Astyanax mexicanus: one gene and its partners. The protein of the gene in region 2 interacts with the protein of the main gene of each other region in a pairwise test. Links are inferred from orthologs where the notes say so. Each region holds a gene or a part of one and is shown on either strand. Other genes may lie near its edges.

Region 1 (7,021 bases), on a different chromosome or scaffold from region 2:
GTTAAATTAATAATTATTTAAATTTATTTTTTTAAATACATATTAATTAATATTTGGACAAAAAGGAGAGATTATCAACACGTTAAATTGTTTACTAAAAAAATGTTTAAAATACATAAATACATATTAATAAATATTTGGACGAAAACATATTATCAGCATGTTAAATTAATAACCAAAAAACGTATTAAAAATACATAAATACGAATTAATAAATATATGGACATAAACAGATATTTAATCAATTTATTTATTTATTTCTGTCCGATTATACTTTAATTAATGTACATTTATGTCAGTTTTCTCACAGAAAAAAAAAATGAGCAGCTCAAGCTTTTTGTTTAAGTTTGGTGGTTTAGCTGGTCTACAAGCATGACCAAGCTAGATAACCAGAACGACCCAGCTGTCTGACCAGCATGACCAGCAAGACCATGCTGCTCAACAAATATAACCAAATGCGATTAGCTGTGTTGCCATTAGCTGTCAGAATTTGTACCAGTAAAACAGAAGACAAATTACTGATCTTCGATTTAGGCAAGACTGCTTCAGAATCTTGCCTGAATAGGCAGCATTTCTTGCAATTCAGACATGACCTGCATACTAACATTTCTAGTGTGGGATTGACAGATTAGTACACACAATATTAACATACTAATCCCTTTTATACAGGAAATGATAAACCTTTGATACTAATCCCTTTTCATACAGGAAATGATAAACCTTTGATATGCCAAATGCAAGTTTTCCAGTAGTGTTCATTGTATCTTTATCTTATTTTTTCTAATGTGTTTCAGACATCAGGAATATTAGAATATTATTAATATTAGTATTAGTAATTTGTACGTACTTTTGGAAACACCTTATGTTAATATTTTTCTGGACTAACCTGCCAAAATTGCAGTATTAAAGCTGTGTGGATCTGATTGAATCGAAGGTCAGTAATCTCATCTATTTGGTGAAAATGCTAATATATAATGCTACTGACAGTGCAGCTCAGCTCTCACATCTAGCAGCGAGCTTTCATACCCTGGCAATGTCAGGACATATGGTTCCCTTTTGATACGATCACAGATCATGACCATCATGACACTGCCTTCTAAGCGGGAGAGCGTGGGAAGTAAGGAACCAAGTCAGCATTTCCTGCAGTTCAGACATAGCCTTAGATTAGAGTATCGTGTATACCTAAAGTACTACTGTTAAGTTCACAAATGGAATGTGGAACTGGTTTCTTTATTTCCTTATGCATGTTTTAAAACATATTTTCCTGTTATTGCTTTTTTTCAGCGATATAATATTATGCTATTGAGTACTTTTTATTTCTGTTTTTACTATGTATTGTAAAGCACTTTGTGCTACACTGTAATATTTAGAAGGTACTACATAAATAATGCTTATAATCACTAAAATATTTACATATTTTTGATTCTTCTCATGCCACCTAGTACGCAACTGGGACACACCCAAAGTTAATATTTTGTGTACTAACATTTCAAATCCACACATTTAAGATCAGTATATAGTACACACATCATATCGTTTTAGTATGTAATATGCAATTGGGATGCATTGTTTAGTGTTCTTTATACTTTTGTGGACAATATATCTTCCCAGAAATGATTGCGATAAATGATAGTTTAGTCATTTTAAGACCAATAGATTATTCTAATATAATCACAATAGAATTTCATAGCATATCAAAGAAAGTATACTCTTTAAAAGACAACAATATTTTAATGAATACTGGTTTGGGAAACCTATACACTATATATATTTTTTTCACTTACTGCAGTCCACACTGTGTGTATGAAGTCACAGTTATTGAAGCATTGGTCATTGATCATTGCATGACTGGCTATAACTAATACTGTTCACTAATAATGTTACATCTATACATGTGAACAAATATACAAGTAAACACAATAGACGATATCATGATTATTAAATATTATTGAGGTCATGTCCATTTATTGTACAATAAGCGATAATGTAATTATTTATCATGACAGGCCTATATGTATGGAAAATTCTTTATAAATCAATCTTAATATTATATGTATTATTATTATTAGCAGTAGTAGTAGTAGTAATAGCAGTGTTACAGGCTGCTATTATTTTATTTCATCTCATGCCACCAAGTGGCTCTTATTAAAATGGCATGTTCAGACAATCTGTGAAAATTCATTCACTTACACTTACAATACACTTCATTTCAGGTTATATTTTATTGTAAAATAAGTTATTCTACAGGATTAAACTGCTTATACATTTGTCCACTGCACAATTCATTATAAGCCTATGATTAGTATATCTGTACATCATTTTTTTACATCAGGTAACATCCAAAATTATTTTTTTATAAGTGTCCTATTTTTAGATTTTTCCTGCTTAAGCTCATTCAGTACAGTAAACAGAGTTCAGCAGCTGTAATAAATAAATCAGTATCAGTATGATCAGTCATGGGCTTCACTGTACAGCAGCAGCCGCAGCAGCAGCTCGCCTGTTACCGTCTGTTTCCAGCCACAGACAGACTCCTCGACAGGTTTCTGGGGAGAAAAGCTGCTGAAGCTGGACTCCATGTCTGCTCACTTACCTCTCCCTTCTCTATGCGCTCCACAATGCTCCCGAACTCCGTGAGCTCCTCTGAATCAGACATCTTCACGCGCGCGCGCGGGGGAATCTTCACTCAGACGATGTTTATTAACAGAAGAATAAGACAGCAGTAGCAATGATGAATGACTTCAGCAGCTCCAGGAGGAGGAGGACCTGGCGGTCCTGACAGCCAGCCAGTCGAGCTCGCGCACTCCCGCTCCGGCAGATCGGCGGACCGCCTCCCGCTTCACAGTCCGGGGGGTGATTTATGGTCCCATGTCAGCATCGCCCCCAGTGAACCGGGCTGTGTCCGGAGCGCGCGCTTTGATGGCAGATCGATGGAGGGAGATGAAGATGTGAATCAAAGTGTGAGCATGATCTCTGAGGCTCGAGACCCCGCCCACCACTGTCAGTCTATGGGCGTGAGCTCCAGTGTCGTAGGAGCTCTTTGTGTGCAGTCAGGCAGGCAGTCCGTGCTGGTCTGTGCGAGTGCTCAGCAACAGTCCTACAAGTACACACCTACACACATATAGAGCCAAGAAAGAATTAGTGAATTTAGTGGAAAATCAGACGCTATAGTGGATTCTGGACTCATATAATGACAATGATATGTTTTCTGCACTGTCCCGCTTAAACAACGTGCGATTTAATAAGACTATTTATAGTATTTCTTGTGATTTTCACTATTTCTGTTCATTTACAAAGAAAACGCCAGTGATGTTTGTCTTGGTTCCTTCCTCTTAACGTAAGGGAGGTTTTCCTTGCCACTGTTGTCACCACAATAACTGAATTGGCATCTCTGTGGTGCTGCTTTCAAGAATTTCCCCCCGGGGATCAATAAAGTATCTATCTATCTATCTATCTATCTGCTCATAAGAGGCGTGAACTGAATTGAATTGAATGGTCTTGTATAAACAGCTCTGAAAAAAATAAGAGACCACTTAAAAACGAGGGTTATTCCACCAAATATTGATTTTTGAACTCTTAAAACTTTGAATTATTTAAGCTCTGCATCTTTTTGTTATTTCAGCCATTTTTCAATTTCTGTAAACAAATGCTCTAAATTACGGTATTTTTTGCATTTGGAATTTGGGAGAAATGTTGTCCATAGTTAATAGAATAAAACAACAATGTTTTATTTTACTCAAATATATATATATACACCTATAAATAGCAAAATAAAAAAAAAACTGATGAAGTGGTCTCTTAATATTTTTTAGAGCTGTATTTATGAGTTTCACCTTTTGAACTGAATTACTGAAATAAAGTAACATCAACATGTATAATATGTAGTACTCCTCATATACAGAATGTGGTGGCATCATTTAAATCAGTCATGCTTGTTCCCAGGACTATAGTCAAATGAACTACAACACTGCATCCAATTACAAGATTTGTGCAAAACTCTCATTTCCTCATTTTTATCCTTGTGTGAATAACAGCGGTAAATTTAGGCTGGTTATCAGGTCACAGTGTGAAAGCAGGTGCAGATTATGTTGGAATAAATGTTTGTTCAGAGCCAAATAATGCAATTAGGTCAAGCATTTGGCAACCAATAAAATCCAACAAAGACCTGCATGCCATGGGGAAATTTATGCATTACTGACACGACCCAGTAGAGAGAAAATTAGAATTGTGCCACAGAGAAAGACTAATGAATCATGTGATGCTATTTCTGTTCAGTGCCTGGGGCAATCTATGTTCAGTTCAATCTAAATTTCATCTGGAAAAAAAACAGAAAACACACATTGCCTTCATTTGCATAGTGCCCAAATGTGCCAACACATCTCCTTACTCATACCTTTGGGATTCTGACTTTGCAGAATAAAACACATAACAGGCAACCCACAAAAAACAAAGACAAAAGTAGTATTTATTGGATAAAAGATATACAGCTATGATATCTTGATATATTGATATATAATATTCCATTTTTTTTAGCCTATATCAGTTTACCTCGCTGACACTATTATTCTATTAGAAGCCCAGATGGAATTTTGAATAAGTAAAAACAGACAGTTTAAGTGCCACAAAAGGTTATTTTAGCAGTGCAGGTCTACTTTAAGTTCAAGTTTATATATATATATATATATATATATATATATATATATATATTTACCAACAGACATATCTACATAAAGCTTTATAAAAGAGATATTATCCCTATCCCTGATAAGAGAAAATGTGAATTTGATCTATAATCTAATCATTTTAAAATGAAAACATAAAAATGATGTCCTTTGTAGTAAAATTTTGTCAGAATCTATGGGCACCCTGCGCAAGATGCTTCGCGATGCTCACTGCTATCTTACACCCCGCAAACTATAGCAAATGGTGCATTGTTGACAGCTTGTGTATAGATTGCTAAAATAGGACCCAATAGAGCAATGAATCTTTTGGGTCCATTAAGAAAACCATGATTGTAATAGACGTGTGTGCGCGTCAGTGTATGTGTGTTTGTTTGTGTGCAAAAACCTTTTAAAAGCTTAAAGTCTCTGTAAGCCTTTAAAAGTCTCTTGAAGAAAGTGCACTTTAGAAAGAAAGTACCAATTTAAACATTCTTCACACTCCTACAACCCCAAATTAACTCAGAAAAGTTTGAGACAGTTTAGGAAATGCAAATACAAACTAGAACATGTTGCACATGAGCATTTAATTTGACTTGCAGAGAGAATGAACCCAAGACTTTTCATATTTTGTGTTCTAAATTTTATCTTAATTTAATGTTTATTTAATTACAACAATTCTTGCATTGCAGGCCTGAAACATCTGGTTGTTGAGGACAATCAGAGTAGTAATGAGGAAAAAAAAAACACTAAATCATTTTATATCAAATAAGTGGACTTGATAGAACACAGAGGATCAACACCAGCAGATAACATGACTCTCCAAACTATCACTGATTGTGGAAACTTCACACTAGACCTCAAGCAGTTTGAACTGTGTGTCTCTCTCCAAACATTTTAAATAAAATGCAACATTTACTGATGATCAGTGATGGTTTGGAGAGACATGTCATCTGCTAGTGTTGGTCCGCTGTGTTAAATCAAGTCCAAAGTCAGAAAATCTTACAGCACTTTATGCTTCCCTCTGCTGACAGCTTTTATGGAGATGCAGATTTCATTTTCCAGCAGGACTTGGCACACTGCCCACACTGCCAAAAGTACCAGATGGTCTTATACAATATTCACATTTTCTGAGACACTGATTTTTGGGTTTTCATTGGCTGTAAGCCAATAATCAACAACAATAAAAGAAATAGCCTTAAATATATCTCTTTTACATTTTTTACTGAATTATTGAAATAAAGTAACTTTTCAATGATAATTACATTTTTTGAGACGCACAAGTAAGTGCATAAAGAGCAAGGGTAAGCTCAATACTTAAGCTCTCCGATTCCTCAGACAGCACTGCATCAAGAACCGAAAAAAAATCAAAAATAGCTGATAGTTTGCTACTACTCTACAGATACATTTAAAATGTTAACCATGTCCAGAAACAGTGTCAGCTTCACTGAGCTCTGAGGCATCTGGGATAGACCTTCACACTGTGTATTGTAGTCAGGTGAGTGAGAATTCTAGAATGTTTTTATGAAACAGATGCAATGTGTGCAAGACCAAAAATGACAAGAACCATCCAGACTGTTACCAGCAACAAGAATCTTTTTTTTTTTTTTTAAGAGTGTTTAAACTGTTGTATCTCATGGTTCATAATTACTCTGACATCTGTACTGAGGAACCTAGCTATCACCTGCAGCTTCAAACAGAACAATAGCACAGTCTAAAAAGTACATTTTACAGTATAGTCATGCAAGTCTCAGTGGATTTTACTGTGTGTATTTACAGTAACAGCAGTATGTTCACACATGTTCTATACTAATGAATCTTAAGGGAAGTTCTATGCTGTGTTCCGGCTCCGCTCCTGCAGAGTAGGAGGAAGTGGTTATCTTCCTTGAATTGATCTAAAGGCAAACTAATTTTAGATTGCTGCTATCTATTGTGTCAATGTGAGCGTTCTGCTGAGTAACAGCAGTGCCGGTGGAGGTGAGCATCAAGCCATTAACCTTTGCACGTCTGTGTCGTGACTGAGAAGTAAATGATTCTTACAGTTTGTCTGGCAGAAAACGTGCAGGCTATAGCACACTACTTTCTATGAAAATTGAGTTTCCCATAGGTTTACTTAGAACAGAATGGAAGCATAAAATGATTTGTCAACAAAAAAAAAGAGATTTATCAGGTTTAGAGGTATAATTACTTCATTAGCCTGTGCGTAATTCCGGTTAAAAGTTGCAGCCAATAATTTCTTAAGAGTTTCTACCATTTTCAAAGTAATATTAAAACAAAAAGCAGCATTGTTAAGCACCACAACAGTTGAGATGCTGTGTAAAATGAATGCAACGATTTGCAAATCTCATAGACACATATATGATTAA
Region 2 (7,638 bases):
TGTGGTCCACTAACTATTACAGAGGTTGCGTAGAATGTGGAGGGTGTGGGTCTGGAACAGTGTGTATATGTATGTGTATGTGTGTGTATACACCTGTGTGAGAATTTGTGATGTTAGTTAAAAACAAGATGTATTAAATAATATTGACTCATTTTGATGTAGTGCTGGGCGATTATGGCCTAAAAAAATAAGATTTTTGATTATAATTGATTCAGATATCCTCAAAACTGTTTTACTGACTCTGATTCCAACAGAAACAAAGTTCCTCTTACTAAATAGAGATAATGGTGGAGTTTGCCACTGATAAAGCACTGATAAATTACATTAACAGTCAGTTAAGCAATCTCTTTTATATTCAAAGTAATTAATTCAGCTTAAATTACATATACTCAATAACCCACCATGACAAACATGGTCTGTTTGTGCTCCTTGGCTAACTCCTTCATCACATCGTTCATCTGAGAGCATTGTGGAGCCCATGGTGCGTGGAAATGGACAACTGTGAGAGACCTGGGAGAAAAGAAGAAAAAAAAAAAAAAAAACATTGAGACAATCCTAAATTTAAATTATTATTCATGATCCTGAAAACTGAAGTAAGGGGTTTAGTACTGATGTGTTAAATAACCACCATAAGCAACACTTTCACAATCATGCGTTAGTTATGTCACCGCAAGTGTTCTGTTCTGGTGACCAAATAATAAAATATCTATAAGCAGTATAGTTAAAACTTAAGATAATTTCTAAAATTGCTGGAGGAGGGCACTGTATCAATATATTATTGTATGAATTTTTAATGGATGCACAGATTTTTTCTGACTAGACGGCAAAAAAGGAATTTCAAGGAATTTTGTTTGTGGTTTTAACCAAAATTTTCATTTCAGTGCATCCCTAGTCTTTTCATTTTTATTAAATCTAATGTCAGCTGGGTCTAGACCCATAATATCAATGTAGTTAAGTAAGTAAAGTTTGTAAAATAATGGAAAACACAGTAGTGCATATGATATATGGTATAGGATTCCCATGACCCAGACCAAGAACCACCAAACCACTGGCCCTACTGGGTCTCTGGAAAGTGACAACTCATACTCTGTGTGCTGATCAGCAATATGTATATGCTTGCAATGATTTTATTATTTTCACATAATAAACAAATCATGGAATTTTATATAACTCTGTTATCTTGGTTAGAGGACCTTACTAAAGTTCAGTTGTTGTGTTCTATACCTGGAAGCCCGGGGTGTGGAAATGGGACTGGGGAATGGCTGTGGGCACGCACAGATTATTACAGATAATATAATCCTTAATAGTTCTTTAATGCATTGTATTTAATGCATTAAAAGTGTGTAGAGAACTGCTCATTGGTTTCTTCTGAAGTCAAATGTATCAACAGGGAGTTTGCACCATTTTACTGCTTCCATTCCATCACTGCAGACAACCCAGGCCTACTGTTCACACTTTATTATTTACACCCCTTGCTGATACTTGGCACTGACCTCAAGACCAAGTGTGTCGATTCCAATAGAGATTCTCCACTAAAGACTGAGGCTGTATAAAAGACTGTTTATCCAGCTATTTAGATATTTAAATAGATAAAAGATAAAAAGATAGACAGATAATCAGTAGCCCAATCACAATACAGAGAGAGCAGCTGTGATGTGTAACGATCATCAATCCAAAACTGTACTACAAACACACTGATATATATATACACCAGCCACTGACAGATTATGGATTATCCACCAACCCCAGATGTTTGAACATCACTATGTGTTCTTGAAGTTTATTGGCTGTTTGCAAAGGAAATATATGATTATTGTCTAAATCAAACACAGCTCTGAAAAAAGAAATAATAGCTTCTTTGATTTTATCAAATTGACAATCTCTGGAATATAATCAAGAGGAAGACGGATGATCACAAGCCTTCAAATCAAACTGAACTGCCTGATTTTTGCACCAGGCGTGGCATAATGTTATGCAGGGTTATTCCACCAAATATTGATTTCTGAACTCTTTAGCTTTAGCTTTAACTTTAGGAATATGAACTCTGCATTTTTGTTGCATTATTTTGAGATCTGACAGCTCTGCATGTTTTTTTTTTTTTTTTTTTTTGAGGCATTTCTCATTTTCTGCAAATAAATGCTCTAAATGACAATATTTTTTTTGGAATTTGGGAGAAATGTTGTTCATAGTTGTTTATAGAATAAAACGACAATGTTCATTTTACTTAAGCACATATATATAAACAGCAAAATCAGAAATTATTAGGACACTGAAGTGTTTTCTTAGTTTTTGTTTCCAGAGTTATATGTATATGTATGTATGTATATATATATATATATATATATATATATATATATATATATATATATATCTTCCAAAGCTTCACTTTCAGTTTTCCTTTTGCTGGTTCTTTCTAATTACCTGCAGAACAGCTCCAGCTGCATTTTTAATGTATTTATCCTGTCAGATAGTTTAGATGAGACCATAGAATTTATAGACCAACGATTCTTACCATTACATTCGTTTTAAAACTCCTTTTTTCATGACTGTTATGCTCTTAAAACCCCTCAGTTAAACTACTACACCCGTACATTAACTGTATTCAGTAATACATCATTAATAGTAAAGGATTATAAGAGTATACATAATTAAATATTGAAGCTATCACAGCTAAGCTCACATGCTGCTGCTGCTGCAGCTGTTTTGAACGGAGCTAAATGCTAAAGGCTAACGGCTAACTTCACTTTAGCTCCGTTACCGTCTACCGTTTCGCTCTCAGACCGGGTTATTTATGCTATTTACCCACTGGTTAAGCGGTTGAACGTGTTCCGCGCTGTGTCCGGGCTGAATTTAACCCGCAGGGAGGTATTTTATTTACCTGCCGGCATTTTTTAGCAGCTCCTCAAACTGCTTCGGCGTCGCTGCGTCCGTCAGGTTCGCCATGATCACAGACAAAAGTATCCGCTCATCGATTCCCAGTGTTTTCCTTCCGTGAAGGCATTACTAATCAAACCGCGGATTGTGTGCAGTGTCGAGAGTTAAATCGTTTATGTAAAAAAAAAACAAATAAGAGAGCACTTCAGTTTCTGAATCAGTTTCTCTGATTTTGCTATTTATAGGTTTATGTTTCAGTAAAATCAACATTGTTGTTTTATTCTATAAACTACAGAACTACAGACAACATTTAAAATGACTGAAATAACAACTAAAAGATGCCGCTCATTCGGACCTCAAATAATGCAAAAACATAATTAAGTGGTCTCTTATTATATTTTTTTCAGAGCTGTATATATATTCAGAGGAAATAAGTAAAAATAATATATATTTAAATAAATATATGAGGTACTACATAATAAATGTAATAATATAATTTAAATAACAAATAACAAATACTGAGATTACATTTATTTTGCTATTTACTATTTATTTAAGCCGTTGGTGTGTGCAAAAGTGTTGCAAGGTTAATTGATATTTAAATATACTACCAGTCAAAAGATTTAGAACAGTAATACGCTATTGTTCATTAGTCCAGTAGCAGTGCTGCATGACCGAGATAAACTGTTTTATTTATTTATTTATTTTTTCTCATCTTTGCAATGACTTTATTACTGTTCTTTTATAGTGTATTAATGTTTCATCACTGTAATCAGTAAATTATATTTTGTTCTATATTATTATTATATATTTTTTTATTCTATTGTATCTATTCTATTCTATTTATTTACTGATTCTAATTATATAATTATATATTTATATAAGTAAAAATAAAACACCGGCAAGTGACTTTAAAGCTGATAGGTCGCGTTTTCGCGCTAAAAGTCATTGCAGCCAATAAAAAAAAATCATTTGTGATAGGCCCGCCTTCGAGGGCATATGCTTACACCCTATTGGTTAACACAGCCGTCTGTCTTATGATACGTGCAGACCAGGAAAAATTGAACAGGGGGAAGTAACTGTTACACACAGCAGAGGAAAGCGTAGGTTGGAGGCGGGACACGTTGTTTTTATGTTTTTAGTGATTATTTAAAGTGTTTATGTAATTATATGCTTTGCCTTTTTAAATAAAGCTATAGAGGGAATAGGTGAACGTTAAGAGCTTTAATTCATGTAATTAGCTGGATTAGTGGTCTGACACGTTGTTTTACCGGGGTTTTCTTTATGTTTGCTCGTTTTTCGGGTCTGTATTAGAGGATATTGGAAGTTTTTACCTCTTTTTATAGTTCATGGACTAGTTTAGGATAGATAAAGGAATAAAGATCCCCCTTCATCATCATGTCTATGGATTATATGAGTGCACTACTGCAGAACAAGAGAGGCCGAGAAGGAGATCCAGAAGATTGGGGCTTCAATCCGGTAAATAACATCTATTTTAATCCATTATTCACGTTTAAAAGCATTGCAGATATCATTAACCTGTAATGCACTTAAAGGTCATTTATTCTGGTTCATTTCCCCCCTCTGCTCACATAACTAACCTAGCTCCTGCACTGCCCTTCATGGTAGTGTGGCCCTCTGACAAAGCTATTATTAGCAGAAATAAATTATAGGGGTTATGCTGGTTAATGCCACACAGTACACTCAGCTTTTAGAGGTCATCTGATGAAGATTATATGGTTATTTGATGAAAAACACAAGGGTATCTCCTCTGTCTATATTTGACAGATAAATAAATCTCTCCTAAATAAGTTGAAGAAAGGTTTTTTCCACACTTGGCTTGGCTGCAATTATTTTTCCCAGGTTTAGAAGTAGTTAGGTTTGAGTGTTAACTGTGGACCACTACCTCACTCTGCCTTATTTCTTGTTATATCTCTCAAAACAGACCGCTTGAGTTTCTGAATCAGTTTCTCTGATTTTGCTATTTATAGGTTTATGTTTGAGTAAAATTAACATTGTTGTTTTATTCTATAAACTACAGACAACATTTCTTCCAAATTCCAAATACAAAAATATAGTAATTTAAAGCATTTATTTTAGCAGAAATGGAGAAATGGCTGAAACAACAAAAAGGTGCAGAGCTTTCAGTCCTCAAATAATGCAAAGAAAAAACAAGTTCATATTCATAAAGTATTAAGAGTTCAGAAATCAATATTTGGTGGAATAACCCTGTTTGTTAATCACAGTTTTCATGTATCTTGGCATCATTTTCTCCTACTCCAGACTTACAAACTGCTTTTAGATAACTTTATGCTGATTTACTCCTGGTGAAAAAAAAATCAAGCAGTTCAGTTTGGTGGTTTGATGACTTGTGATCATCCATCTTCCTCTTGATTATATTCCACAATCAAAGAAACTCATCATTTTTAAGTGGTCTCTTACTTTTTTACAGAGCTGCATATTATTGCAGATCTTTTAAGAAAATGTGTTAAAATATTGTTAGCTATTTTTTTTTACATATTGCCTAGCTTTACTTGGAATAGAATAGAATATAATGAAAGGTAATTTATTCTGGTTAATTTTCCCATGCTCAGATAACTAGCTATTATATGACAAAACACTGAATTACAAAAGAAATATTTAAAGAATACACTACTGCAACACATTTTTTGTATTATTATTATTTTTTTTTTTGCATCCAATATGATATGGCACACCCCTAACAGAGATATAAAAAAAAAAAAAATACAAGAATTGTATCAGATTTCTAACAGAAGTCAATGATCCAGAATGATCAGTCATGATACTGATAATAATGCACTCCAAATATCTCCATATATCCAGGATTAAAGTAGAATAAATGATACTGGACAGATATAATCTGTCTCTAGTAGATATATAATGGGGGAAAAAGTAGAACCCTGATGTGATAATTAGGAATTGGTGAAATGGCACCATGTTTCAGGGTATAATATCAATAATCACCATATTAAAAAATGTTGGCAATATTATTGCATACGATGTCACACCCGTAGGAAATGCTGGTTCATGCCCCACAGTGCACTCTGCTTTTAGAGGTCATCTGATGAAGATATATGATAAAAAACACAAGGTTGTCTCCTCTGTCTGTATTTGTCAGACTAAAAGAGTGTGCAATGGACTGGAAAGCTGTGTCCAGGCTGAATATGGAGCCCTGACCGAGAGCCCAATGGACACATGGGAGATCCAGCAGGTCAGCCATCTGAAGGACACCACCACCACCACCATCATCAACAACAACAACAACCACCACCACCATAAGGTAGGGTTCTTGACCTTGGCTTATTTCCTTACTGCCTGTTTTCACTGGTCAGAGTGCACTCGAGCAATTATGAGTCACGGGCTCAAAGTGCACTCAGAGGATAAGAGTTGCATATGGTAAGAAATAAAGAAAGAAATAATCTGGTCATAGCTCAGAGAAATCAACTTTTTTATTTTTCAAATATACACAGCAAAATTAAATATTATAAAATAGATTGCCCTGAAAAAGCATTGTAAAAAGACCTGCTATTATCAGTTTATAGTTACTACTTAATGTCTAATAGAGGTTCAACAATGCATCACAATGGAAAAGAAACACAATGTGCATCACAAGAACAGATAATTCCACGCTCTGTCACTATGCAATCATGCAGTTGCATTGTCTGAACACCAAAGGACAGAATTCTGCTAGTGCAGGCCAGTGGGAGAACCAGTGGGCATAAGCAAAGAGTTTAGGACGTGTTAATCATTTTATACTGAAGCCAATCACACAACCGCTTTTGATGTCAGTCACTTATTTTAAGCCAATCAACAGCCATTTTTTGTTCAACGAAATATTATTTTAAGCAGTGTGTAAACTTTTTCTTTTTTTTTTTTTTTTTGTACTTTTTGGCCAGCCAATGTATGTCAGTCATCTTTAACCAGGAACACAAAACTAACAAAACAAAATAACATGGTTTTACTGCTCTGAGAAATACATTCTGAATAAATGAAATGTGATGCAACCTTATATAAGCAACATGTTTATTTAGTTTATGTTTATAAATAATTGGTCATAAGATAAATAGAATTTTCTGGCAATAATTTAACAGTTAAGCATTTCTGAGTGGAGAAGAATATGGAAAAAATATAGTGTTTAATGGTACCCTTCTGCTGGAACGACCATCCCTGCTAGGCCTTATAATATATTCATTCTAAAAACTGGGGCGTTGGGTTGCTTTTCGCAGGAGTTTTTCTTCTGGCCACGTCATGCGTCTTTACGTACTTACAGTACGTCACACGTACAGCCTCTAAAAGAGGATCCGGTTCAGTTTTAATGAACGTGAGCGGCTGGTGGAGCAATGGAGACTTCAGAAGAGGAAACTCAGAGCTTAGTAGCTCATTCACTCATAGTAAAACCAAAGAAACGAAGGAGTGAAGTTTCTGACTGAGCTCTCTCTCTCTCTCTCTGTCTGAACACAACCTGGAATCGGATTCATTCATCCGCTCTGAAAAGGAGACCGCATCACACCCACCCAGTTTAAAATGATTCTTCTGCATATTCAGTGCAATTACCCGTTCTCACCAGAGAGGCGCTAAATCTCCTAAATCACAAAACTTACAGACATAAGTTTTAACTAGTAGAATGATCATATTTTAATAGATTTATTTCTTTATTTATTTTAAACAGGTGCTGGAAGCTCAGAATGGCGGCGGTCCGCAGTGCTGCCCCCGATGCCTGGCAGGAGAACCGGTGAGATATAT
Region 3 (7,588 bases), on a different chromosome or scaffold from region 2:
TTTCTAAATCTGCTCTCCTGTTAAATTCCAGGGTTTATTATGTCCCATGAAGCTTGTGTTAGTGCAAGCAGTGCAAAAATATATTAACCCAAGTAACCACAATGAAGAAGCAAGGACTGCCTCCACAACTCATTTTGAATATTGATTTCCTATTAAAATAAAAAATATATACACTGCCTGGTCAAAAAAGTCTCCAATTGGATTTAAGTAAGTAAATGATGTGGGGTTGATGCTACAGGTGGTCAGGTTTAGGTTTGGCAACAGAACGTGCTGAAAGAATGAGGTCAGCTGACTACCTGAATATACTGAATATAGATCAGGTTATTCCATTAATGGATTTTTTCTTCCCTGATGATACAAGAATATTCCAAGATAACAATGTCAGGATTCATGGGGCTGAAATTGTGAAAGAGTTCAGGATTCGGGGAGCATGAGATCATCATTTTCACACATGGATTGAGAGTTCACCACAGAGTCCAGATCTTAACCTCATTGAGAATCTTTGGGATGTGCTGGAGAAGACTTTGTGCAGTGGTCAGACTCTACCATCATCAATGCTGCTGCAAGATCTTGGTGAAAAATTAATGCAACACTGGATTGAAATAAATCTTGTGATGTTGCAGAAGCTTACTGAAACAATGCCACAGTGACTGCGTGCTGCAATCAAAGCTAAAGGCGATCCAACAAAATATTATAGTGTGACCTTTTTTTTTGGGGGGTGGTGACTTTTTTTTTTTCCAGGCAGTGTAGTATATATTTAGTGTAGGCAGTGTATGACTTACATTTCAGTCCAGAAAACACCTGACACAATAATTACACTATACTTTACTATATGGCCATAACCTTCATTAACTTCATAAACTTACTGAGTTTAATAAAAGTGAGAATTTGTAATTGCACTGAGCATCCTAAAAAATACTTTTAAAACATGCAGTGTGGTGCAGTCTCTTTTCAGAGTGGACGAATCTGGTGATTTTAGGACTCTGTAGGTCTCTGATCTCAGCTCTCTTCAGTTCTAATTCTGCATTTTTTTGGTTTAAGGATGTGTAAATGGACAGATAAAGACTGAGTTTGCATGTCTGATTTATGTGTTCACAGTAAGTCTTGTATCAGCACCATTGGCAGCACCATGGTTGCTCAGGAAACCAGTAAATGCTCTTATACCCAGAAAAATGTCCCGGAATCTACCAGACACCCTAAATTTAAGAATGAATATACACTATTGCTCAAAGATTTTTAGTTGCCTATATGCAGTGCTGTATGATGATCCACTAAAGCTGCTTTTTAATTTTCTAATCTTCTCAACTTTATTACTGCACTTTACCTTTCAGACCTATAATTCTTCTCTTCAATGCTGAAACTGAGACTTAGTCCAGTGTTAAGCTTAGCTAAAGGTGTTGTTGCCATGTGGGTCAGCCAGACCTGATGCTTCCTGTACCAGTTTTCTTTAAGAGTTTCCAGGAGTTTTTTGAAGATGTAGGCAATAGTACTCTCTGGCTTCATCTGTACTTTCGTAAAACAGCAGAGTCATTCTCAATAGTTAATAGTAGTTATTTGTTTTATTTTTTTCTGTGTATTTTTACACTATTTAACATTACTGCTTTTTAATTAAAAAGAAAAAAATATTAAGGATTGAGAGAACCCAATTCCATAAATGAGCTTGTGAAGTCGGTTTAAAACTTATTTATATATTACTGCTATGGTTATCACTACTAATTCACTTTAAATATAAATAGCTCTGAAAAAACTCAGTTTATGAATCAGTTTCTCTTTTTTTTCTTTTTTTTTTTTTTACTATGTATAGGTATATTTTTGAGTAAAAATGAACATTGTTGTTTTATTCTATAAACTACTGACAACATTTCTCCGATATTCCAAATAAAAGTATTGTCATTTAGAGCATTTATTTGCAGAAAATGAAAAATGTCTGAAATAAAAAAGATGCAGAGCTTTCAGTCCTCAAATAATACAAAGAAAACAAGTTCATATTCATAAAGTTTCAAGAGTTCAGAAATCAACATTTGGTGGTGCAATAACCCTGGTTTTAATCACAGTTTTCATGCATATTGTCATGTTCTCCTTCACCAGTTTTACACACTGCTTTTGGATAACTTTATGCCACTCCTGTTGCATTTTTAAGTGCTCTCTTTTTCCAGAACTGTATATCTTATTGGATTAATTTGCCTATACACAAGAGTTAGTATCCTTTTGTATAGTATGGTATTTTTATTGTTGCTATGTTGCACCGTTTAATATTACTGTAAAGTGATTATCTGAGCCTCACCCCAAGCATTTTAATGATTGTGTGTCCTGACATGATGTGCAAATGACATAAATTTGAAACTAACAATTTTACTGTGCAGTATGGTGCACACTCTATTTGAAACTTTACCAGAGTTGAGTATCTACAAAATTTTCATTAAAAAAACTAAGCAACTGTGCCCCTGCAGTAAGACAGTAAGTGGTCAGTAAGACAGTATAGTGAACTTACATGGAGGTAAGGTATCCCGTTGGCAACACCTCCTATCACAAGATCAGCTGAAGCCATGGCGCCGTTTGGAGAGAAGCCAAGCCCCATGTAGCCCCTCGTTGCTGCCTCAACTTCAAACGTGATGCTGGTCTCATCAAAGCTCCACTTCAGCGCGTATCTCCCCCCGGCGTCCAGCGCGGCGGAGTGCTGGAACCCGCTGCTGTCTCGAGACCTCTCCGCGCTCAGCAGCGTCGCGTGCAGCAGCAGCAGCAGCGCGCGGGGCAGCCCGGTCTCGCGCATGTTATTATGGGAAGTTCGTGGTTGTGTCCGGGCTGAAAGCGAGAGGAGTCCGAGGCGCTCTGGCCACATGAAGCCGCGCGTGTAGCCCGCACGAGCGCATCGGAGGAGACTGCTGTCCCCTCGCGCGCGCAGCCACGGAAAAACAGCACTTCCTCCTCGGCGGTAGAGCTGTTGTGACTTGCGCGTTTGATGCCTTTGATGTTGAGCCGCGTGTCTCGCCCTCGCGCTGCTTTGGTCTACTCTGCTGTTTACCGCCGCGCGCTTCACCTTCTGCTTTGATGTTTGGCGCGAACGACCCTATCAGCACGCGCCTCGAATCTCCAGTGTTTTGAAGTTCAAATTTAAACTGAACCTGCGCTCAGCGACCGTTAACGACCGTTAAACCACAAACACTATACATTTACCTCAGTTTAAACAGTACAGTGTACATTATTCCCTCAGTGTTAAATCAACACTGATAGTGCTACGTTAAAACTATAAGGGGAAGTTTCCCAGACAGGGGTTAAATCAAGTGCCGCACCATATTTGATTTTTAGTGGACAATATCCAATCAAAATGCTTTGTAGTCCAAATTTAGGCTTAATTCCTGTCTGAGAAACTTCCACTCAGTTTTAATTTAACTCTAACAGTGTTGATTAGCACTGGCTGGTAAATTTACTGTATAGGCTCTTTGTTTCAGTGTAACGGACAGGGATAAACCTAGTCATAGACTGTATTTTTCTTTCAAAGAAAAATCTCCAGTTACAGTGCTGTTACAAAGTCCAAGGCTAGACTTAATCCCTGTCTGAGAAACTGTTGGGAAACTTTATAGAGTAATGAAAGTTTTAAAGTGATGGAAAAGTTATGTTGTAGTGACCGAATATAAATGTTTGCATTTTAAGGTTCTGTTGAATTAATGTAACCAATTTTATGCTGTAGATATGCTTAATATATACTTAAACTTAATCTAAAGCCCTATCTCGGGATTAGTTTCTCAGGGGGTCCTGAGATAATTTTCTCTTTAACAGGGGGGTTCTCTGTGATTTTATTCTCGTCCGGAACAACCGTGCATGTGTTTTTTGTTTTAGACGTCCTCTAAGAAGGCTGAATTACCTACAGTTTTTCACTGAACTTCATGGTCCTCTGGTCGTCATCTCGCGTTTAATAAAATAGCTATTGTCTACTGCCATGTATCGTAATTACACTTAGATGACAGCATGTAGTAAAGTTCAATAGTCTGCTCACTAAACTGCATTGTGAAACCAAAACTAACCGGACCAATTGTACACAATGTAACAGATGGTGCAGACTCCAGTCATGTGTGAAAACATCTTAAAAAAATTTGAGTAATAAAAGGATTCTAGTGCCTCACTATTATTTATATGTTCTGCTGGACTAATTTAACCAGTTTCAGCATTATGAACTTAGTCTAGATAGATAGATAGATAGATAGATAGATAGATAGATAGATAGATAGATAGATAGATAGATAGATAGATAGATAGATAGATAGATAGATAGATAGATAGATAGATAGATAGATAGATAGATAGATAGATAGATAGATAGATAGATAGATAGATAGATACTTTATTGATCCCGAGGGGAAATTCTAGTCTAAACATTTTAGAGTGAAGGATTCTAGTGCCCCAGTATAAAAGTTTACATTGCATTCTGCTGGACTATTTTGACCAATTTTCACTTTCTGAACTGTCAAAAGGATTATTGTGGTTTGTTTTAAGCTTAGTTTAAAGCTTGTTATACAGTTGAATGGATTAATATTTAAACAACTGAATGGGACTGATACATACAAAATTGTTGCTCATATTTTAGTGGACCTAGTGGATCGAGTTAAACTTGTTTGAATTAAATTAAACGTAAATAAATAAAACATGAATGGGTCTGAGAGACCTGTAAATGTCGTGCTTTGGATCTAGTGGTCTAGTTTAACTAGTTAAACATTTTTGGGCAGTTTTCCAGACAGTGAATGAGTGAGGTATATAGGTTATAGTGGACCAGTGTAAGTGTAAATTTAACTTTTCATTGATTAGATAAACTTAATTAGAAAATCTTTTTTTTTTTTTGGATTAACTATTTAACTATTAGTTTGTATTTTTTAATGTCTGTATGCCATTAAGATAATCAAGATACAAACAATGGCATTCTAAGTAGTTTGGCGTGAAATTCTCTATTCTAGGAAAAATACCGGGTCAAACGTACTCTCAGTGATGGTGATAGGAAGCAGATGTCAGAAGCATTTATTGGCTATAAGCTACATCACAGCAATTAACTTAAAAGGTTATAAATGTGTTTTGCTCCCTTCATAGTTTTATGATTATTCTGAGAATAACTAAATTGTATTTTTAACATTCAAGAGGACTACATGCAGAGAAAAACAATACTAAAAGAACATGTGTTTCCAGATTAACCACAAAATTACCATCATACTCTTAAATGTTTTTCAGTTCACTCTAACCCACCCAGTTTAACTTTTTATTTTTAAGTCAAAAACACTCATTAACAGCAGCAAATATAACCCATTCAGATTGATGCAAAACTCGGCATGTAGTCTCAGACTGGTATGTAAATGATTTCAGGTGTGGTCTGATTAGGTACTGGCCACAAAAGAGTGTAAAGTTGCTTCCTTCGCTGCCTTATAAAACAATTGTGCAGTTTACCTCTTGGTGGGAGATGCCTCTACGAAGCAGTCGACTTTAAGAGCAGACACATTACTAAACCGAGAAAATAAGTATAAAGACCTTAGAAAACTTTGAGGATGCAGGATCTACAGGCACAGCTGCAAAATCTGTGGGCAACTGTGCTGCAGGATACCATAAAGAAACCTATTTGTCGTCATGCCCAACAGTATCTCATATTGTATCCAGGCTAGAGGCATCCACCAGGGTACTAGAGCCATCTTTCAATTTTACAGTTTTCTAGGGTTGAAATGATTCCTCAAGTAATTCGAGTTACTTGATTTAAAAAAAAAAAATTGATCGATTAATTTTCTGTGTCTTGAGGAGTCATTTAATTATTTTTAAAATGCAGAGCACGGAATTTAGCGTGGACTTTTAATGTGAAACAGAGCGCTTAGCTTTACGTTACCCACGCACAGGAAGCAGGTAAATTTAACTTATAACAAATCAATGAGATTAACATTAATGTACCTTACTAATATAACGACAGCGCTGTGGAGTGCTGATTATTGTTAGTTTATTACAACGGAGACACATTCTAGACTTAACACTGGCTTTATGTTAACAGTAAACAAGAGATCTGCGCGGGACTGCTTTTTTTACCCGGTCCCATGTGTTTTTGTCCCGTTACCGCCCGCTAATTATTATAATTTTCTTAGCGATTTAATAATTTGCGGGAGCGGGACCACATGTTAACGTGGTCCTGCTCCCGCTTTGCCTGGATTGATTAAACTCCCGCTCCCGCCAATAACAATTCAGTTCTCTAGCGCGCCGCAACATATTCTGACGCGGGAGTGCAAACCCATCTTTTCAACACAACTTCTCTATAAGCATCGACTCTCTCTCTCTCACCGACAAAGGTTGCTAGGAACCTGGGTGTTATGATTGATGACCAGCTCTCCTTCACGCACCATGTGGCCTCAGTTGCTCGATTCTGCCGCTTTGTGCTTTATAACATCAGAAAAATTAGACCGTTTCTGATGCAACAGGCCACCCAACTCCTGGTACAAGCAGTCGTCATCTCACGCCTCGACTACTGCAATGCCCTGCTAACTGGCCTCCCGGCCTGTGCAGTAAAACCACTCCAAATTATGCAGAACGCAGCAGCACGTCTGATCTTCAACCAACCAAAATGGGCACATGTCACTTCGCTGCTCATTGAGCTCCATTTGCTACCAGATGCTCGTATCAAATTCAAAGCTCTTACAATCGCCTACAAGGTGATGACAGAACAGGCTCCTTCCTACCTGCAATCACTCCTGAAGGCTTACGCTACCTCCCGGCCGCTGCACTCCTCCAATGAACGTCGCCTCGCTTTGCCAAACATTCACACAAAGCAATCCAGACTGTTCTCATACAGAGTTCCCCAATGGTGGAACAAACTACCTTCCACTACCAGATCAGGAGAATCTCTCGCTATCTTCAAGAAACTCCTGAAGACAGAGCTCTTCAAAGAGCACTTACTCTCTTAACACCTCTAACACACTAACTACTTCTTACCTCATTTCCTTCTTCCCCTCCTTCAGTCCTCTATCCCCTCATTTCCCTTCGACCTCCTTTAAGCCCTATCTAAAAATGTTTTACCTTTAACTTCTATTACTTTTGTACTTGACTATTGTAAGTCACTTTGGACAAAAGCGTCTGCCAAATGTAATGTAATGTAATGTAATGTAATGTAATGGGAGTGCAGACCTCTAAACAAAGGTGGGCTCTTCGACAAAAAAAAAGAAAAAAGGTCAGTAGTACTCTTTCATGTTTCACTACACCCCAAAACCATTTTACCCCAGATTTCAAACAAAAAAAGTTACACAAAACTAAGATAGAGTGTATAAGTGTAGCTGAGGTGTGTGAATAAGACAATACTTTTGGCTGGTATACTTACAAACTAAATTCAAAATATGTTAGGTGGAGTTTCACTTACTGTAAACATAAGGTGGAGCATTTTAAATGTTACTGACGCTAATCTGGTGGAAATCTCACTCGTCAGGTTGAATATTAGTCATGTTAGGACATGTCTTGCTTTCGGGCAGTGAGTAGGTTGTTTACGCTTGATGCTTGCATACTTTCAGATCAACACATGATGACTTGCTTGTAGATACTGTATGTTCTGTCACTTTAATATTGGACTTAAGAAGCCCTGCGC
Region 4 (7,539 bases), on a different chromosome or scaffold from region 2:
CAGGAGTAACGGCATAAAGTTATCCAAAAGCAGTGTGTAAGACTGGTGGAGGAGAACATGCCAAGATGCATGAAAACTGTGATTAAAAACAAAATATTGATTTCTGAAGTCTTAAAAGTTTATGAATATGTTTATGAACTTGTTTTATTTGCATTATTTGAGGTCTGAAAGCTCTACATCTTTTTTGTTATTTCAGCTATTTCTCATTTCTGCAAATAAATGCTCAAAATGACTATATGTTTATTTGAAATTTGGGAGAAATGTTGTCCGTAGTTTATAGAATCAAAAACAATGTTCATTTTACTCAAACATATACCTATAAATAGCAAAATCAGAGAAACTGATTCAGAAACTGAAGTGCTCTCATAATCTGTATATATAGAAAGGTGTGTGTGTTTGTGTATTTAAAAAGAAGAAGTTGGAATGAAATGAAATGTCCTTTTATGGCTCCACAGACCTGCTCTCCCTGCTGGATTAACAAGCTTAAGTTTAAGAGCAGAAACAGTAAAAGTGGTGTCAGGTCAGAGTGAAATGCATGACTCTTCATGTCCTCTCGGAGTTACTGAGAGATCTATAGTGTGTGTGTTTTTACTGTGTGATTCTCTGATGCCTCATGCAGAGCAGCCGCTCAGCCTGACACATCACCCTGTACCTCCAGAGCAGCACGTACACCACATTCCCACCAGCCAAACCCCACCACCAGCAGCAGCAGCAGCAGCAGAAGCCTCTGGCATCACCAGCTGTGTTTCCAGGATAAGCCGGGGGAGCGCTGCTCATTCATTCAGCAGGAATCTGAATAACGGACTGAACACCAACAGCTTTTCCACACTGTTCTGTACTGAACACGTGGGTGTACAGTTATATGTAATATCTGTACTCTATAACCACTGTCTGTAATGTGTTTTATAGTTATTGCAGTGTTTAGTGTACCTATGATTTATATTATGATATGTATTATATTAGATTTTAGCATTAAAGCTGTGTACATGTATAAGTATGTATGTATATGTAAATTTAACATTGTATTTACCAAATATGTAAAAATATATTTTCCACTTGTCTATTCAGTGTATTCAAGTTTAATATAATGTCTTTAATTCTAAAACTAGACATAACTAAACATATATACTGTGCATCATAAATGTATATTCAGCACTGTAAAAAAATTAAGAGAGCACTTTAGTTTCTGAATCAGTTTCTCTGGTTTTGCTATTTATAGGTTTATGTTTGAGTAAAATGAACATTATTGTTATATTCTATAAACTACAAACATCATTTCTCCCAAATTCAAAATATGGTCATTTAGAGCATTTATTTGCAGAAAATGCAGAGCTTTCAGACCTCAAATGATGCAAATAAAACAAGCTCATATTCATAAAGTTTTAAGAGTTCAGAAATCAAAATTTGGTGGAATAACCATGGATTTAAATCACAGTTTTCATGCATCTTGGCATGTTCTCCTCCACCAGTCTTACACACTGCTTTTGGATAACTTTTTGCCCCTCCTGGTAAAAATGTAAACAGTTCAGTTTGGTTTGATGGCTTGTGATCATCCATCTTCCTCTTTATTTTATTCCAGAGGTTTTCAATTCGGTAAAAACAAGAGAGCTGTATATTTCTAGAGCTGTATATTCTACTTTAACACTTTGGTTGACTACATAATTCCACATGCGTTCCTTCATAGGTTTGATGTCTCCAATATGAAACTACTAAGTATAAAAAAATACATATGAATAAGAAACATTAAATGTGAAGGTGGTTTTAAACTTTTTAAAAGAAAATAAATTTTGTAGCATTTCTATTGGTCCATCTATTTTCTCTCAAAATGTGATGGACAACTTTTGAGTTCAAATGATAAAGTAAATTGAATAATGTCAAAAATGGAAATAGATGTTTTTCCCTAGACAGTAACACACACACACACACACACACACACACACACACACACACACACATAAATGTACTATATAGAAGCTATACTGCTGACCTCTTTTTATCTGTACTGAACAAGTTTACATGTAGATGACTATGCCAACAGTAACGTCATATTCTCCCTGTAAAACCCTCTGCAGGAATACTGATTCAGAGAAGAAATGACCACAGAAGAATGAGGAACAGCTCATCATTTTCTCACAGTTTCACAGCTCAACGTGCCTGTCCTCAGAACACAAAGGGAGCAAAAACCAAGACATCATGAAAACCCCCATCAGTGTCACACTAAATTAACTGGAATGACTATAAAAGCTCAGAGAAACTGAAACTGGGTGCCTATTTCTGACTGATCACTATAAATTTCACTACTGCAAATGAGAAGAGTCAATGAGAGAGTTAAAGCTTCATTATCCAAATCTCAGACATCCCTGCAAAACTTATAAAGTGCTCAATAAACAAAAATGAACTATTTAAACTAAAATAAATACCAAAATAAAGTTCTGATACCTAACATAAACTTTTCAAGATATTTTAGGTCCACCTAAATCAGCACTGACAAAGATAGAAACATGTTTAGCTGAGCCTACTCACTTTTCTCGTGCTCATCATCATCATGCTCACTGCTGCCATCTTCCTCAGAGGAAGAGGAGTGAGTTTCTCCAGCCAGCACCTGATCCTGGACGAGGAGGAGGAGGAGGATGAAGAGTTTTAGTAGCATGATGATGATGATTCCTGCTGAAGTCTGTCTCCTCTTAGCAGCCAGTAACAGTCCCGCACAGGTGCTCACACACACACTCACTATCTTACACACTTTTATATACACACACACAAAGCCTCACCTCCATTCAATCACAGGGGGAGGGACATTTAAAAGGACCACCCTGAAGAAAAGAACCAATCAGCAGCCAGGAGCTATCTGATCGCTATGTGCCCAGTGTTCCTTTATTCTCTCTCCTTACAGCTCCCTCTCTCTTTCTCTATCTGCTTCACTCTATCTTATATATATCTTATATATCTCTCTACATCTATTTCTCTCTCTTTCATTCTCTCTGGTGCTCTCTCTCTTTTTTTCTTTCCTCTCTCTCCCTCTCTCAATCTCTTTCTCTCTGTCTCACTCTTACTCCTCTCTCTCTCTCTCTCTTTCTCGCTTGCTCTCTCTGTCTGTACCTCTCTCTCCCTCACTCTTTCTCTCTTTCTCCTCCCCATCTCTTTCTCTCTCCTTCTCTTTTCTTCTCTCTCTGTCTCTCACTGTCATGCTCCCTTCCTCTCTCTTCCTACCTTTCCTTTTGACTTAACCTCTCTTTCTCTCTCTCTCTCACTTTTTCTCCTCTCTCTCGCTCTCTTCTTCTCTCTCGCTTGCTCTCATTGTCTTTCCCTCTCTCTTTCTCACTCTTGCTCTCTCTTCTTCCCGTCCATCTCTCCCTCTCTCACTTTATCCTTCCTTCTCTCTATCTCTTTCTCTCTCTGTCATGTCCTTCCTCAACCTCCCCCACTTTTCCTTCCTTCTTACTTTACTTCTCTCTCTCTCTCTCTCACTCTTTCTCCCCTCTCCCTCTCTCTCCCCATCGCTCTCTCTCTTTCTCTCTCACTCTCGCTCTCTCTCCTCTCTCTGTCTCTCACTCACTCACTCTCTCCTTCTTTCTCCCTGACTCTCTTTCTCTCTCTCTTCCTCTTTCTTTCCGTCTCTCTAGCTCTCTCTGTCATGCTCCCTTCCTCTCCCCCCACCTTTTCTTCCTTCTTACTTTACCCCTCTCTCTCTCTCTCTCTCTCTCTCTCTCTCTCTCTCTCTCTCTCTTTCTCTCTTTTGCTCTCTCCTTTTCTCAGTCTCCCTTTCTCACTCTTTCTCCTCTCTTTAACTCTGTCTTCATCTATCTCTGTCTCTCTCTCTTACTTTCTCTCTCTCTCTTTGTCTTCATCCCCCCTCTCTCTAGACCTGCACTCCTGTAGAGGCTGAATGAGAACTAATCTAATCTCTTAGTCTCTCAGCATTCTGCAACACTCATACACACATACACACACACACACACAGTCCTGAACGAAGTCCAGTGGCATGGCTGCAGCAGTATGTTTATGTTAACATAAACACTGGAACACAATAAGGGGCATAATCAGTGTGTAAGAGACACTTTCAGATATAAAAAACTAAGATTTAGAACAGTAGTAGTAGTAGTAGTAGTAGTAGTAGTAGTAGTAATATTGCTTCACCACAGTTTAATCTCACATAATAGTAAAATGAAGAAGTAAAAAATAAAATGCATTGTTTTTATATCTATAGATTGTATTTCATTTCTAGTCTTTAAAACAGATACAGACAAAGCCAATAGGACTGGAGCTTCCTCATTGGCAGAGGCTGTTTTATTTATAGAGGAGCTCTACAGCTGTCAAGATCAGGTCACTGGGGATCAAGGTCAACATCAGCGTACTTACCACTCACATTCACACTGGATCAGAGATTATTATTATCAGTGACTTTTTTCATTTTATAGGTTCCCCTGAGAAGAGTGAGCCCCTTTCCCTCCACATCAGTGGATCCTCCCGGTGGGGTTAAATCAGGCATCATCTCTCAACTGCACCCGTTTGGACCCTAAACTTCTTACAGAAAGGAACAAGAGATAAGTACACACAAATACACTCCCGCTCTAATGTCCCCTTTTTAATGTTATTATCTAGAGATTTTTTTTGCAGAAAATGAGAAATAGCTGCAATAACAAAAAGATGCAGAGCTTTCAGACCTCAAATAATGCAAAGAAAACAAGTTCATATTCATATTCAAGTTTTAAGAGTTCAGAAATCAATATTTGATGGAATAACCCTGTTTTTTAATTACAGTTTTCATGCATCTTGGCATGTTCTTCTCCACTAGTCTTACACACTGCTTTTAGATAACTTTATGGCACTCCTGGTGCAATATTCAGGCAGTTCAGCTTGGTTTGATGGCTTGTGATCATAAATGAATTCTTGATTATCATTCCAAAGGTAATTCATCATTAAGTGGTCTCTTACCCGAGCTGTATGTGCATACCATTTAAACCAACATTTTCAAGTAATTTTTAACCATTTTTCTTCTATAATGGGACTGTGAGTGATCCAGCAGACTAAGATGCTGCCTCTATAATCCGAGGATCGCCAGTTTGAATTCTGTATCATGCTGCTTTTCAGCTGCCATCAGCAGCCGGAGTCTGAGAGAGCACCATTGGCCTTGCTCTCTCTGGGTTTGTAGATGGCGCTCTCTCCACGCGTCTGATTTCACATGTGTAGGAGGAGGCATGTGCTGATTCTCACCCTTCTGGTATTGGGGACATTGCCCGTGATACTGGGACACCCAAGTAGGTGGGTGGGGTAATTCACCTTCCAAACCGGCGAGAAAATGAGAGAAAATTATAAATCAATGAATAAAAAACCTGTTTTAAAAAATAATTTGGTTATATTTAATATTGTAAAAAATCTAATAGAAGAGTCTCCCTCATACATTTAGTTCATCATGTTAGTTAGAATATTTTTTGTATCTGTTCTTGTGGTTCTTTAAAGTAAACAGGTAAATTTTGTTTGCTCCTTGACCCTGAATATAATACGCTATGTTCACTAAAACAGATCAGACAATAGACTGGTCAGTCAGATTGTGATTGGACTATTGTATTTAAATTTCTGTTGCAGTTATAGCTGTTTTCTTTTGTCCATTCATTCTGTAACAGTTAACACACAATACTAATCACAGGCTTTCTGATCAAATACACTTTTTTTTCTTTTTTTCTTTTTTTTTGCAAAATCCTGAAACCCTCACAAAGCATTATATAAACATAAACACACACATACGCAGACACACTCACACACACACACACACTCACACACACTATTATCAAACAGCACAGCCTGCAGTCACTGTGTTGGTGAACCGTATGAAGGTATGCAGGCAGTGGGTCCACTGGAAAAGTTATGATTATGATTTTTATATCAACGTCTATTCAATGTTTAGATTTTTGCAAGATATTTTACAGTGGCTGGAATTGAAGATTTACTGTCTTACATTACTTCCATTAACAATTTAGAATTTTACACTCTACACATACACACTATTTCCATTATGATTTATCCATTGACCTCTATTCAAACTGAATTTTTTTGTCTACCTCTAAAAGTTTTTTCCCCTGTAAAATTCTAGTTTTGTAGAAATAAGGTTATCAATGATTTGCTATGCTATAACTCTAAAACAGTATAGAACTACATAAAAATGTTTTGGGGAAAAAAATACTCAAAAACGTACCTTCAGATCTTTCAGATTTAGTCACGTTGTTCAAACACTATTAAAAAATAACTGGAAATGTTATTAAAAATCTAAATCTAATCCAATTTAAAATCCAGACAAATCCTTCAGGTTCAAGTTTAATTATTTAATCAGGCCTCACTGTTCGTATATGAAAAAGATCCAGATGTTATTAAGTTTCAGTCATTTGACCTTTTTTAACAGTTCGTCGTGTTTTTTTTAAAACACGCTCCTAATGCAGCTCCTTCAGAATACCACATCACAATACCCCTACTCCCCCCCCCACACACACTCGTTCCTGGAAGAGTGAGAGAGAGGGAACATCAACATCACGTCTGTTACAGAAACTCAGATTTTTTTCATTAAAAAGGTCAGAGCAAGAGCATTCCACACACACACACATGACACATGTGCAGTTTGATACTTGATATTTAAGAATGCCTTGATTATGATGATCACCTTTTTAAAACCAAAAACAAAAAAAATCACAGCCTAATTAACAAATGCAGTCATGTGATCGTGTATGAAATTAAGATCTCATTAACACACAATTAAAATGGTTTAATGCGTGCTGTTGTGAAGGACTTATGGACTTCCATTATGAAAGCTTACTATTGATTAATCATACTATTGACTGTGTAAATTCAGTCCTGACAAGACATGTACCTAAAACTTTAAATTTAGTAGATTTTTTTCTTATGTTTGATATGCACTCATGTAATGTGATTTTATTTCTGGTGATATGATCTTTTAAAAATTGGTGAGGGAAATTTTAATTTAGTGACATTGAATCGAATCGCCTTTATTGTCATTATAATTTGCATTACAATGAAATTGGATTTGCTTCTCCAAAATGCCTTTGTTGTATAAATTAAACAGAAAAATAATTTAAGTTAAAAGCAACAAATATAAAATAGACAGAAATTAAATGTAATAAAAACAAGATATACACTGTACAATCTATCCACAAAATATTGCACTTCAAATATATTGCACACGTTATATTACTCCTGGGGTTTAAAATTGTACGTTTTTGTTTGCCATTGTTTTTTATTGTTCAGTGCAGTGATGGCTCTTGGGAAAAAACTGTCCCTGAGCCTACTTGTCCGAATTTTATGTGACCTGTAGCGCCGGCCTGAGGGTAGCAGGTCAAACAAATAGTTGCTGGGGTGGGATGTATCCTTGGTGATACTGTCAGCTCTGCTAATGTAATGAGAGGTGGCAATATCCTCAAGGCTGGGCAGGGAACAGCCAGTGATCCTTTGGGCCGTGCTGATCACCCTCTGCAGCGCCCTTTTGTCTGCTGCTGAGCACCCCCCGTACCATGCCGTGATGCCGTATGCAAG

Evidence for each region.
Region 1: the proteins of glrx3 (region 2) and trim36 interact in binary tests that used the Homo sapiens proteins (3 or more experiments, as listed by UniProt). The two-hybrid records come from large-scale screens. The link is inferred for Astyanax mexicanus from reciprocal best matches to the Homo sapiens genes GLRX3 and TRIM36.
Region 3: the proteins of glrx3 (region 2) and moxd1 interact in binary tests that used the Homo sapiens proteins (3 or more experiments, as listed by UniProt). The link is inferred for Astyanax mexicanus from reciprocal best matches to the Homo sapiens genes GLRX3 and MOXD1.
Region 4: the proteins of glrx3 (region 2) and ca9 interact in binary tests that used the Homo sapiens proteins (3 or more experiments, as listed by UniProt). The two-hybrid records come from large-scale screens. The link is inferred for Astyanax mexicanus from reciprocal best matches to the Homo sapiens genes GLRX3 and CA9.

Annotation. Positions count from the first base shown.
Region 1 is NC_064419.1:37,293,392-37,300,412, reverse strand, and holds the start of trim36 (E3 ubiquitin-protein ligase TRIM36), read right to left. Parts: upstream 3,002-7,021; 5' UTR 2,654-3,001; coding exon 2,591-2,653; intron 1-2,590. UniProt on the Homo sapiens protein: E3 ubiquitin-protein ligase which mediates ubiquitination and subsequent proteasomal degradation of target proteins. Involved in chromosome segregation and cell cycle regulation. May play a role in the acrosome reaction and fertilization.
Region 2 is NC_064422.1:12,525,829-12,533,466, forward strand, and holds the start of glrx3 (glutaredoxin 3), read right to left. Parts: upstream 3,007-7,638; 5' UTR 2,944-3,006; coding exon 2,879-2,943; intron 511-2,878; coding exon 402-510; intron 1-401. Other genes in the region: uncharacterized protein si:ch211-221j21.3, read left to right, coding at 4,273-4,353, 6,014-6,175, 7,565-7,627. UniProt on the Homo sapiens protein: Together with BOLA2, acts as a cytosolic iron-sulfur (Fe-S) cluster assembly factor that facilitates [2Fe-2S] cluster insertion into a subset of cytosolic proteins.
Region 3 is NC_064408.1:48,943,894-48,951,481, reverse strand, and holds the start of moxd1 (DBH-like monooxygenase protein 1 homolog), read right to left. Parts: upstream 3,026-7,588; 5' UTR 2,840-3,025; coding exon 2,492-2,839; intron 1-2,491.
Region 4 is NC_064427.1:25,814,021-25,821,559, forward strand, and holds the start of ca9 (carbonic anhydrase 14), read right to left. Parts: upstream 3,001-7,539; 5' UTR 2,651-3,000; coding exon 2,524-2,650; intron 1-2,523. UniProt on the Homo sapiens protein: Catalyzes the interconversion between carbon dioxide and water and the dissociated ions of carbonic acid (i.e. bicarbonate and hydrogen ions).